2 linked regions of the Drosophila melanogaster genome follow. The protein of the gene in region 1 interacts with the protein of each later gene in a biochemical or structural test. Each region holds a gene or a part of one and is shown on either strand. Other genes may lie near its edges.

Evidence for each region.
Region 2: the proteins of yem (region 1) and Ubx form a complex in vitro, tested with the Drosophila melanogaster proteins (one study listed by BioGRID).

The regions. Positions count from the first base shown.
Region 1 is NT_033777.3:29,117,830-29,125,243, reverse strand, and holds yem (yemanuclein), read left to right. Parts: upstream 1-2,364; 5' UTR 2,365-3,042; coding exon 3,043-3,282; intron 3,283-3,337; coding exon 3,338-3,559; intron 3,560-3,627; coding exon 3,628-4,447; intron 4,448-4,507; coding exon 4,508-4,655; intron 4,656-4,721; coding exon 4,722-4,961; intron 4,962-5,023; coding exon 5,024-6,362; coding exon of another isoform or gene 6,363-6,659; 3' UTR 6,660-6,914; downstream 6,915-7,414. Other genes in the region: Atg14 (Autophagy-related 14), read right to left, coding at 7,131-7,285, 7,348-7,414. UniProt on the Drosophila melanogaster protein: May play a key role in egg organization. May be a transcriptional regulator having a role in chromatin remodeling in concert with Hira, a histone chaperone. Involved in chromosome segregation by affecting kinetochores function in the first meiotic division.
Region 2 is NT_033777.3:16,731,111-16,736,394, forward strand, and holds the start of Ubx (ultrabithorax), read right to left. Parts: upstream 3,317-5,284; 5' UTR 2,354-3,316; coding exon 1,588-2,353; intron 1-1,587. UniProt on the Drosophila melanogaster protein: Sequence-specific transcription factor which is part of a developmental regulatory system that provides cells with specific positional identities on the anterior-posterior axis. Binds the consensus region 5'-TTAAT[GT][GA]-3'.

The DNA.
Region 1 (7,414 bases):
TGGGTGGTCGTGTTGGCGGTGAAGCCAACCACCAGCGGCTCTTTTTGTTCTAGTTTATTTGTTAGTTTGGTTGGGGAAAGTACGATGAGTAAATGAAATTGTCGGCGACAAAGTGCGGTTTGATTATATCAACGACAGGCGGCCAACGATCCCTTTTGGATTGAACCACAATTAAATAATATTTCTTCCTATGTTTATGAATAAGACTGTTTAACCTTTTAATGATCAATGAACCTAGCTCTGTAACAAAGTTTTCTACTGGATAAATGAACTTTAAGAATGGCTTTGGATGGGCTGGTGAATTATCCATAATTATTGCTAATACATTCTCCTACAGCAGACTCATTTAATTAATCATGAAAGCAAATAGAGAGCAGAAATAAATAAAGTATCGCTCATTCGGTTTAAGAGCTCCCCTGATAACGATAGCGATCGCAACTGTACGAACCTCTTGGGGATGCGAAAATCTGCGAAGAGGTAGCAGTAAAGCAGCTCGAGCATGTCGCAAATCGGCAATAATGACGCATTAAAAAGCAAATTAAATTTGTGCGCTCACTTGTTGCTGTTGTTTGATTGTTTATGTGTATCGCTTTATTTTTGTGTGCGGCTTCTGTCCATTTGAGATGAAAAACTGGCTGCCGCCTTTAATAGATGAATTACCAAAAAAACACACAAGTTTTCATAGAAAATGGGAAACCAATTTGGGTTGGCAAGGCATTTGGGGCCACATGTTTCAAGGTCGATTGCCGTAACTCCATTTTGGTGTAGGAATTTCAATGTCTGGGAGTAGAGTTTATCATTCAAGCAGTGCTACGGGCAACACTCTCAGTAGCTAACCTTTTTTTCTTGCAAAGAAACTTGTAGACATGATAAGAAAACGGGTGTTCGTTTTGATATCTAACCCATTTGCATAATTTGTAGTGTAGAAAACTGGTTTAAACCTAAGTTGTCCTTGCATCGAGTGTTTACTGTGTTCACCTTGGACTACGTCACTTGAGATAAAAGAAAGCAGTCGCAGTTCTGATCTTATCTTATAATGGTAGTCTCTTGTTTCCCATATGAACGATTTCCCCTTGTTGTTTTTTGGAACTACAAATGTACAAGGCCCCGTAATTTCGTAATGAAGCAGTATTACTCACCTTTGCTTCGGAGCCGAACGATTCTTCCAGAGATGTAACAAAGGAGCTCCACTCTTCTCGTCGCTTTTCCTTTCTTTCTTAAAGTTCCTTTATTGTCTCATGACACTTTTTTACGAGCGGCTGGGGGCTTTTTGTTTAGCTGGTTTCCTGGGACGGAGTCACTACTCCGGCGAAAGTCACCGGACCACTGAAAGCGGGAAGCCTTTGTCGGAGCTCCGTATCCCGTACGTTGCTCTTTGGACGTCGGTCACTTGCATTCGTTGGATAAATATGTACATACATACATAAAAGAGCTCGAGTGGGGCTGCAAGCATAAAGGCAGCATAAGTGTTTATGTGCTAGTGTTTGTGTGGTGCCACTTGGGGATTGGGGGTGGGGGAGTTGGGGATTGGGTTGGATTGGATTGTGAAAAGAGCAGCACGGCACACTTTTGTTAATTGCACAATCCTAATCGTTTTCACCCGATAACGAGCACTGGCCATTCCCGTTATAATAACACCTTGCAGTTTCGACCGAATTCGAATTTCTGTGCATGCAACTCTTTTCGTTTCGCTTGTTTTTGTTGTGGAGCGGGCGCATGAAATTAAGCCCCCAAGCTCACGTACTGCGACTCACTTGCACTTGCGCTAATTAAACGGCGAGCACTTGACTTTCTACGAAGTAAACTCCTTCACAATCGAAATAATACTGAATCGCCCCAAGAAAATCTGCCCACCACCCGCGGCCCCATACTCTGAACAGCTGTGCCGAACAGTGCTGCACAACGGCCCGTTCTGGTCAAAACAAAGCAGAAATGTGTGTGGAATGTGGCACTGCACAGGGATGCACAAAAGCTAGTGCGAGTGTTGGCCGCTTTCAAGCCAGATCTCGTTACTTGTTGGAAAGTTTTAGAGCCGCGTAAGTTATAAAAAAGTTTACATTATATTTTGATTTTGGGTCCTTTTTAAACAATTAAGCTTACAACAGCATAAGCCACCTATATATTTTACGTAACCTATCAACTTGGTAGCTCGAAACTTTACTTTAAAAATGAGCTAGATGCCAAGCTAATGAATTTCTAACTAACGGAATTTTGGAAATACATAGCACCCATAACAACTAAATATTGCCAAATGCAGCCAGCCGCAGCAAGTCTCGGCTTGTGCTGCGCGCAGTGTGAACGGCTCGGAGTAATTTGCGAAAACCGCGACCAGTGCTGCGCAACGCGAGTGCGAAAGCCAAAAGCAGGGTCGGATCTTTGGTGCGGGGTGGAGCGGAGAGAATGTAGCGTTGAGGATTTTAACAAGAAACAATTTAAGAATCGCGCTCCTGGCCGTGCGAAAAGCGCCTGGTCGAATCGTTTAAATGTCCCCTTTGGTAGCGTCGATTGCGTGTGTTTAATCCCCGGTGCGCTGCTTTTACAGACTGTGTTGTTTTCGTGCCGGCAAGCCAACCAATTTGAAACCCCCCAAAAAGTTTCCACTTTTTCATTCCCCCAGAAAAGTGACAATTATTCGTGGCCGTGGTCGGCGGATGCAGCTGCAAAGCGGGCGGCGATTAAAGTAGTGCAATCCGGCGCAGGTCCTCGCCATTTGTTTATGTTGATAAAGCAGTGTTTGTGGGGCGACAACAAGAAAGTGCAGCTCAGAGTGAAATTGCCACGGTTATTAAGTGGTTGTGGTTGCTTGGTGTACGTGCAGAAAACCTAAAACAGACATCCCCAGAAGAAGAGGAAGCAGCGGAAAAGGAGGAGGAGGAGCATCAGCAGCAGCGACGTCTCTGTTGTTTTTGTTTGGCTGCGAGAGAGAGAGAGGGAAAGAGCAACGAAGAACACGCGGCTCTTTCGAAAAAAAAGGGCGGGAAGGCCCTTTCGGCTCAAAGGAAACCCTATCCCACTGAATATCCGTAACTCTGCCCGCCGGAAATGTCAAAGGGGGGCGAGCACAAGCGCGTCACCCTCACCTCGATCATCCAGGGCGATGCGGGCTTCTCGCGCTTCGGCAGCAACATCCTGGAGCCTGATGCTGCGTCCGCTGCACCCGACAACAGCTCCAAACCCACGACAAAGACTGCCAAGTGCATCCGCATCAAACTCGATCTGTTCGAGACCGATTCGAACAAGTATCCCGAGTTTAACTACTCCCGGCTTTTGTATTTGGAAAAGGTAAGAGTGTATAACTCAGTTGGAGGATCGCTTTCTAAACCCTTGCAATCCGTAGAAAAAGACCAAAAAGCTGAAGCAGGTGAGCACTACCAATGGCTCCGCAAGCACTGATCCCTTTGCCGACAACGATGACGATGTGGCACGGATCGTCAAGGAGCTGGAGGCCAAGTATGGCAACTCCTATGCCACAGGCAGGGGGAAGAGCAAAAAGGACGACTACCGGGACATTGGAATGGGCTACGATGAGTCGGACTCATTCATCGACAACACGGAAGCCGTAAGAACAAGAAATATTTCCGACGAATGCACTGAAATTATTTACCTTAAACTCTATGTTCTGTCCAGTACGACGAAATCATACCGGAGGAGGCGGAAACTCTGGAGGGCGGCTTCTACATCAACTGTGGCGCACTGGAGTTCAAGAACCTCACCAAGAAGTCCTACACCACTCGAACAGATGCCATCATCAAAATGCCAGAGCGATCACGCAAGCGCATGGTCTCGTCCAGCTCGGAAAGCTCATCGTCATCCTCGGGCGATGATGACGAAAACGATGATGGCAACAATGAGGAGGACGACGAGAGCGATTCCGAGGACGACTCCGAGGAGAACGATGAAAGCGACTCCGAAGACGACTCCGAGAGTGAAAGTCTTGAGGACGAGGACTCTGCTGCTACAGCCAAATCCAGCAGCAAGTACAAAGACAATCATCAAGCTAAGCGGGCCAAGGTCATCGTTACGGGCAAGTCCAAACCAAGCTCAAGTTCTTTGACGAGTGGCAAGAAGCCGCCGACTAAGCCGATCACCACTTCCTCATCCTCAAACTCGCCACGACCCAGCACGGTGGAGATTTCGGACACGGAAGACGGCCAAGACCCTATCCAGACTCAGCCATCAAGTCAGCTTCAGTCCCTGCCGCAGAGTCAGGCCCAGGCGCAAGCTTTAAAGAAGGTGGTTAAGACCACAACGGTCAAGGACATGCTAAAGGCCAAGCGAGACAGCTTCCTGAAGTCGCAGAGCGGCACGGCAGCTGTCAAGGGCGTCGGCAACGGCGAGCTGAAGTGTGTTTCCACCGACGTGTCCAGCAGCGATAGCAGCGATATGGAGTCTGAGCACGGCCGGGCAGATAGGCAGGCCGGTCAGCATGGCAAGGATGGGCAGGAAAGTGAGTTACATATACAGTATTAGTTGGTTGAAATCACCCTTTCACGTGTTCATTTTTAAGATCTTCGCACCGCCGACACTCTGCTCCCCACCACATTGGATGCGGACATTGTGACCGCAGTCAACAGCTTCAAAGAAGCGGTGAAGAGTCGAGACATGTGCGGCAAGAAGTTTAATCTGGATGTGAAGCTTTCGCCACTACTGCTTCGGTGAGTTTGCAGCCGATGTAAACATCAAGTACAGATTTAAGGCTTATATCCATTAACCTACACCAGGGTGTACGAGGCGGTGCTGTGCACGGACCGCAACGAGCGCAACATGGTCTTCTCCCACATCGAGTATCAGCTGCAACTGCCCAAGTACTACATGCTGCGCAAAGGGAAACAAGTGCGGGCGAAGGAGGAGAAGAGGAAGTCCACCATTATGCTGGAGAAGCTGCGGCGGGCTGTAGCTGTGGTCATGCCTAAGGCGGTGGCCAACTATGAGACGGAACTGCGCACATTTGCTGAACAGGCGTAAGATTGTTGTTAAGCGAAATAACGATTAGGTTCCTTTAGATTATGATTATTATTTTCAGAGCTGCGGACGTGAACTCCGAACTGCCGCCCAAAATGCCGCGTAAGAAGTTCCAGTGGACCAGCGAGCTACGCCATCTGCTGTACGATGTGTACCAAGCGCGTTGGACGTCCTACGCTTTCCTAGCCAAGCGCAAGGAATCGTTGGAGGAGTTCATCAATTGGTATCTCAAGGAAAAGGTGGTGGAACTGTGGCCGCCAGGCTGGATGCGTTTGGATGAGTTGCAAAGGGAAATAACACGCTACAAGAACGCCAAGCTGAAAGCAAAGGAGAAGCCAAAGGCACCGCCGGCGTCCGCATCGCCCAAGCCCGTTGGAGTTGTATCTGCTCCTGAGCAAATGCCGCCGGCAAGCAGCTACCTAAAGGCAGTGGAGGACCCTCGATCTCGAGGTAACTCCGATACGGACTCAGCTACAAGTGCCTCCTCCAACAGTCTGAAGCGAAAGCTGAAGGAGATGCCCAAGCAGACCAGCAAGCCGCCAAAGAAAAAGGTGGCTAAGCAGGTACCGCTGCAACCGCAACTTACTCCGCATCCGCAATTCCAGCTGGCGCCGGCTGCCACGGCGGCCGTCAGTATACCAGCCATTAGCAATAACAACAACCACCTGCCCCACCTGGACACGCTGCTCTCCATGCCGAGCACCTCGGCTCAGGCAGCAGCACTCAATGCCGCCGCCGTAGCAGCCGCCAGTACGGTTCTGGATCTGGCATCCCCTAGCCGGAAAATTGACCTTAACACCAGCAACAATTTCTACAATCTGATCACGGCCGCCTCCCTGGCAGCCAGCGGGAATCCCAGTCCGCATTCTGGAGACGGCCAAGCCAAGGTGATTGTGGGAGCTCGGCCCTCTCCCCATGTGATCAACCTGGATGACTATCAATGCACCAGCGATATACTTCAGACGTCCAAGCAGCTAGCTGCCACCACCACTGTCATCACCGCCATCTCAAAGGCCGCGCAAACGACGTCGGTAGCCAGGGAAAGCAGCAGCGAGTCGGATGGCGTTGAGATTGTGGGAGTTTTTCCTGCCTCTAAGCCCCAAAAGAAAGTCCAGTCTAAGCCCAAGAACAAGACTCAGAACAGAGGTCGGTCGTCTTTGGGTGCGGTGGGGCAGGTAAATGGATCCCTGGGCTACAGCGCGAATAACATGTATATCTACAATAGCCCAAGAACGCTGGGTCCAGTGTACGATCTCACCGATCCGCATATAATGAAAACTATGTCAAATCTGAAGGAAATGGAAAAGCAATTCATTCAAGCGGCTTTCTCGCCGAACAGCGTCAAGGGCGCAAGCGGAGGAATGGGATCCTCAGCGCCCAGTACGCCCACGCGCCAATGACATTCGGGATCGGCCGCACAGCAGCCCCTTCCGGCTGCTGTGACGGCCTTTTACAACCAGGAGGCGATGGCCGCCGCCATCGTGCTCTCCACGATGAGCCACGCCTCGCCGCGCTACGACCTGCTGGCCAACGGCTCCGTCTCCATGTCCGCCGCCCAGGTGGGAGCCTCTGCCAACACACTGCCACAAGTATTCGTTAAACCCAGCCTGCCGCAGCCCAGCGCTGGCGGCGATGTGGTGACCACGACTGGAGCTGCTCGCCCATCCACGCAACAACTGCCCACAAAGTTCATTTAGCTAGGGTCACTCAGCTCGTTCCCTTGCGATTCTAATCTAAGATTCTAGTGCTGATTCTAGGTAGGTTTCATTCGCAGCTGTGTCTGCCGATTTTCCAATTATTGCACCAGTTTAATTATTGTTTCTCATTGAGTCGTTTACCTACTAAGTCAGTGTACTATGCAAGCATTAATAAAGCAAATTTATATATATTTATTTATAGAGAACCATTTTTATTAAATAAAGGCGAATAAGTTATGTAATAGAAATAAATCCAAAAGGCGCATTTTCTTTACACACAGCGAATATATATGTATATATATAATTGATACAAAATTAGTTCTGTAAACCAAAGGATAACGCTAAAACCAGCAACTGCCGATAAACACCGACGTGCTGTCACAGAAACGATTACTTAGTCTAATTTGTAAAAGATAACACGCGTGTCTCATGATGATATAGCCGAAAGATCGGACGTCTGTTGGTCTGCGATCATTTGATCCAGCGCAGCACCGATGTGGCCGCCATTCGCACGAAGGCGATGGTAGACTGCTGGTTGGCCGCCGGCATCAGATTGGGATCCGCCAGCTCCGGCTGCGGTGTCAGGCTGGGCACCGCCTCCCAGTCCATGCGCAGAGAGTTTTCGTCTGGAAAGGCATCAGCATCAGTTTGAAAAGATTATTCCCCTCAAATTGCTAAACCAACTCACCCTCTGACTCCGATTCCGTGGCGGTCTCGATGCCGATTAGTAGGGAGTCCACTGACTTCATGAGTGG
Region 2 (5,284 bases), about 12 Mb from region 1:
TGGAAAACCTGTCGCAAGGCTCTCGAATTTAGTTCAACTTTAATTGTTTTTTAACCAGCTCTTCGCGTTGGCTATAAGTGAAATTTGATTGATTTTTGAAGGGTATTTTGCAAGCTCCCTTTTATACACAGACAAAAAATATTAGCGGATAATACAAATAATTTTTTGAGTCTTTCGAACAATTAAAAAAAAAGTAATAATTTGTAAGTTAACAATTTATTTAATTTGAAAATAATAACTTGTAAGCCCTCTATTTTCCCTATTTCTTTAGTGCCAGCTTGAGTGCAGTTTACGTTCGATCTTCGAGCACCTAGACCTCCTTCGGCTGACCTACTCTTGGCTTTGTTCTTGGCCCAAACGGCAATCTCGGCCCAGACGCAAGCCGTTCGCCTCGCTCGGCTGGTGACTGAAACCCGTGGAAAAGTCGAGCGGTGAGGGGCTGAACGTAATTACATAATGGCGTAGTTAACCGTAATAAGCGCGACTTCTGCGCGCAGTGTGTGTCCTGAAAGGATTCTTGCCCTTTCTCGCCGACTCCTGTGGCTGCCTTTGCTGCCTTTTGCTATTTCTTGACTTCTCCGTTGCTATTTTGCAGCTCTTTTTAAGCCGCATGCCATAACTCACGCTGCTCGTTGCCGCTCTCTTGTTGCACAAATTGCAGCTCACTTGGGCTGCCAGCGCTGCAACAATTACCGCCGAGCATCATTAAAAGCAAAGGTGACAAAAATTAGTAAACAAAGTGTTGAAAATTATGAGGCAGACGTAGCGCTGCAAGGTGTCGCGGAGCGGAGCAGGTGAAATCGAAGGGTCTGAGCTGGTTTTTTTTATTTTTTTATTTTAGCTACTCATGGCTCTTCACTCGATTTAATCACTCTAAGCGAGATCACAGCCATAAAATCTCGCTTAGAGTGATTAAATCGCTGAAATTGGCGGCCAGCGAATAAACTATGGCCACGCAAATGGGTGCCTTTAAATAGAATTATTGGAAAATAATTTTGAGTTAGCCAAGGGGGTTTTTGCCTTTTTAACACTTAATAAATCTAAAATACTTGTCCTAATTTTTTTCCTCTGAAGAATATAATTTTACTATTTTTTATTAAAATTTTTAATTTTTTTACCAAGTATTATCACATCTTTTTTTCTAAACTTTTCAGCCAATTTGAATATACACAATATTAACTAGGACTGTTTTTTGGCTTCCTATAACCATAATACATTCTTAGTTTTTGTTTTTTTTAAATCGCTTAAAGTTTTTGATTGCCAATAAGGTGTTGTGTCTTTTCCCTAAGAACCTGCCATAAAAAGGTCTGTTCTGCCTGCTTTCATATGTCTTACATTACAAGTTGTTATCTGTTTTTCCCATGATCGATTCGAGCTCTTCATTATATTGCCTTACATGTTGACTTGTCTGTTAATTGGAGCAGAGACGGCAATTAATCACAGGATGACTTTTGTTGCCATAGCTGCAATCTGTTGAGCTTGATAACAACTGGGAAAACAACAAAGCTTTGGCACTGCAGGGATGAGGACAGAAGGGATGGGATTTCGGGGGACTTTCAGTGGACTTGTGCTGCAGTGGACACTCACTTTTGGTCGGATCTTCAGGACACTCACCTGCGATAGCCATCCAGGGGTAGAATGTGTGATTGCTGGCCTGGTGTAAACTGCTGGCGGCCGCCGTTTGGGCAGCGGCGCCCGAGATGGTGCAATTGGCATTCCAGGCAGTGCCCGCTCCGGCCACGCCCACGCCGCTCTGTACGCCTCCGGCGTTGCCGTTGCCGCCGCTGACACTCACATTACCGCCGGCACTGCCGCCGCGATGGCTAACGGGACTGCCGCCCGACGTGTCCAAATAGCCGCCCACTCGGGAATCTGGGGTGCAGGCGGAGGGTCTAACGGGCATACCGCCCGCCGGATTGTTCTGTCCGTTTGCATTGGCCGCATTACCGCCATTGGCATTGCCGGCTCCACCTGTTCCGCCCGCTCCGCCGCCACCACCGCCTCCGCCGCCACCCCCGCCGCCATTCGAGCCGCCCGTGTTCCAAATGTCTTTGTAGCCATTCACCGCATCCGCCTTGATGTTCAGGCAGTCCTGTTTGTAGGCTCCGGCTCCATCGCCGTATATCTTGTTGCAGGCGGCCGTGATGCTGGCATCGTAGGGCGAGTCCTGGGTGGTGCGCTGCAGATGGTGGTTGGCATAGGGACTCATGCCCAGCGAGAGAGGGAATCCTCTGTACGCGGCCGCCGCTGCACTGGCCGTCTGGTCGTGGTGGCCACCGCTGCCCATTGCCATTCCGGTGGCCTGGTGCGGATGGCCATAAAAGCCGGAGGCCTGTTCAAAGTACGAGTTCATTGCGCTGCTGGCGGTAAGAATCTTGGCGGTGCTCCGTCTGAGACGGGCTAAAAGTCGTTGGGGGCTTGACCGATTTCACACGAATTGGTTTCCAGGGATCTGCGATTTTTGGCGGATTTTATTTGAGTGTTTCCTCGCTTTCTGTGCTGTTCCTTTGCCTCCTTTGGATTTAAACAAATTTTGTTAAACTCTTTTTAAAATTTATTTTATATTTTCACTCCAAGTCTTTGTTGATTAAGTTTGGTTTTATATAGTTAAATATGTCTTATTATTTGTAAAATATTCTTGAAATTTTTTCTCCTTTGTTTTAGCACCAATTTGAATTTTCTTTGTTTCAGAGTAACCAATTTGTTTTTCACTTATTTAAATATTTATAAAATATTTTTCTGTTTGGTAAATATTTATTTCAAAAGTTATTCTTTTTATTGCACTCTCCACGCGGGTCGTTTTAAATTTATTTAAGCACTAATGTTTATTGAGACTTCAATCTTAATAATCTTTAAATTTTTTTCCACAATTGTTTGTACGGTTTCACAAGTGTTTCGTATACTTTGTTGCGTTTTGGTTTCGGTTTTTAGCCAATTGCACTTTGCTGTTAATTGAATTCGAATTTGAATACTTGGATTGCGCTTGCCTTGGCACTATCAAAGGCTCGTAAGCGTTACGATTATTACTATGTTTATTGTTATTGCAATTATTATTATTATTTTTATGGTTTTAACGATTTGAACGATTATTAGCCATAGTGCTGACCGAACGGGCGCGAATGCGTCTGCTGACGGATTTCCTCGAATCTGGACGCCAATCTAGTGGAAAGCGACTTTTCCGCGCGGCATTCACGGGCGGACGCGTGGGCGAGCGGTAAAGCGCTGAGGGCCAATAATAACAATAATGCCGCTGATAATGTGGATAATAAAACAAAGCGCGCGCCTGTTATCCAATCCGTTGCCATCGAACGAATGTGGCACCAAATCGCAGTTGCCAGTGTTTTGACTTTGCTCTGCCGACTCAACTCACTCGACTCGGCCTAAAAACGAGTGGAAAACAGAAACAGAGAGCCAGCGAAACGCTCAAAACCAGATTGTTTTTGAGCGCTCTTGCGCTCTCTCTTGAGTGTTCGTTCAGTTTAAGTTTATCGGGGTGGGCGCCTCTCGTTCATTCATTCGCGAGGAAGGAAAATGCGCTCGCCGCGGGAAATTCATCATGGAGGAGGGCTGATTTTCCTTCAACTGAGTGGCGAAAAACGCTCGACGGGCTGCCCGCCAGTTGCCAGTTGCACGCCAAACGATGCGCATCCCGTATTTGCTCGGTTTTAGCGCACTTATGACTACAGTTTCAGTTCCCAATCTTTGTGCTAGAATATGGCTTACGCAAATTATTTGTATCTAATTCTATTCAGTTTAAGCTGGTCATTATTTAATTGTTCAATATTTTGGGGAATAATTTGCACACAACGAAGTGCAAAAAAGTTTTTGTTTTAAAAAATATATTTATTAGAATAGTCGGAATATTGTAATTATTAATTTAATTTCTATGGAAGTAAATATCGTATAAATTGTTTCACAATTTAGAAAAATATTAGTAAATTAATCGTTTTTACCTTTACCTCAAAAACTATAAGCTTAATTCAATGTGGTATGGCATAAAAAGATACTTATCACTTAAAGGCTTTATTAGGCCTTTAAAAACGAATTATAATATATTAATGAAGACATTATTTTTTATTTATTAAAAGTCTCGTGTTTAGCATTAGTTTATTGATAATAAGTCAACCCCAACTCGGCATTGTACGGTAATAGAAGCCAGGGATCCGGAAAATTTGTGTGCTGCGGTTTTCCTTTTCCTATTCAAATTCAAATTCGCATTCGAATCCAAATGTTCAATCCGTTCGCCAATACTTTCAATGGGATATTAATGTCAATGTAAATATGGTGGGAATTGATGCTAATAAATTCATATGCATAATGCAAATAGATCGGGGTCTTGCAGACCGAGAACGCCGCGCCATTCGCGAAAGTTTCGCAAATATTTGTCAAAGTTTCCACATTCGCACAAACGGCTCGTAGATTAAGCCAGAAACCGACGGCGACCAAACAAAGTTGCTTGCCACAAGTGTTTGCAAAATAAACTTATTATAAGAAGAAATTTACTTTTCTACTTTTCCAACCCCTGCTCGCGCCATTTTCCGCCGACCAAATTTTCGGTGCCAAGTCTTAAAAATCAACAACAAGCGAAAGATACAAAAACTTGCACAAAACACAGATACGCACCACCACATACACACACACACACACACACTGACAAACACTTGAATCACATTCGGAGACGCGGCGACATTTTCTAAATATGCGACCAAAAGCCCAAGGAAAAGCGAAGCCAAAAGGCGAGAAGACCCAGAGCAAAGCAAAAGTAAAGTAAAAATCGCAGTCGCAACTGCAAACTAAATATCGTGAGTCGGGAATCCAGGACCCAGAAACTCGCTATCCCGCATTTGGGACCCAGGGGAAGGACACGAGTGCGAAGGACTCGCGGGGATGACAGAGAAATAGCCTCATAACCATTTGAAGCCATTCGAAGGCGCATAAAAGGATCACAACAATCGCCGAAATGAGCCATAATGAGCTCGTAAAAATTTTGCTACCTAATATACTCGGGAATCTTACGGGTACGAGTATATTCAAACTTGCTACGTTATGGTGGGGTATGCAATGGGGCAGCGCCAGTTCCCCTCTGTGGCTTCTGCTCCTCTCGTTGCTCTCGTTACCTCCTGCAGGAGCTCCTCCTCCTGCAGAAAGTTGGAACCCGCAGTTTTGTTTTTGTTCGACATCGATGATTGTTTTTTCCTCCGTTCTGCATTCTCGAGTTTGCTGCTCGAGTTACTGCTCGATTATGAATTGATGTATTTTAGTTCTGAGAAATCTAATTCTTCCA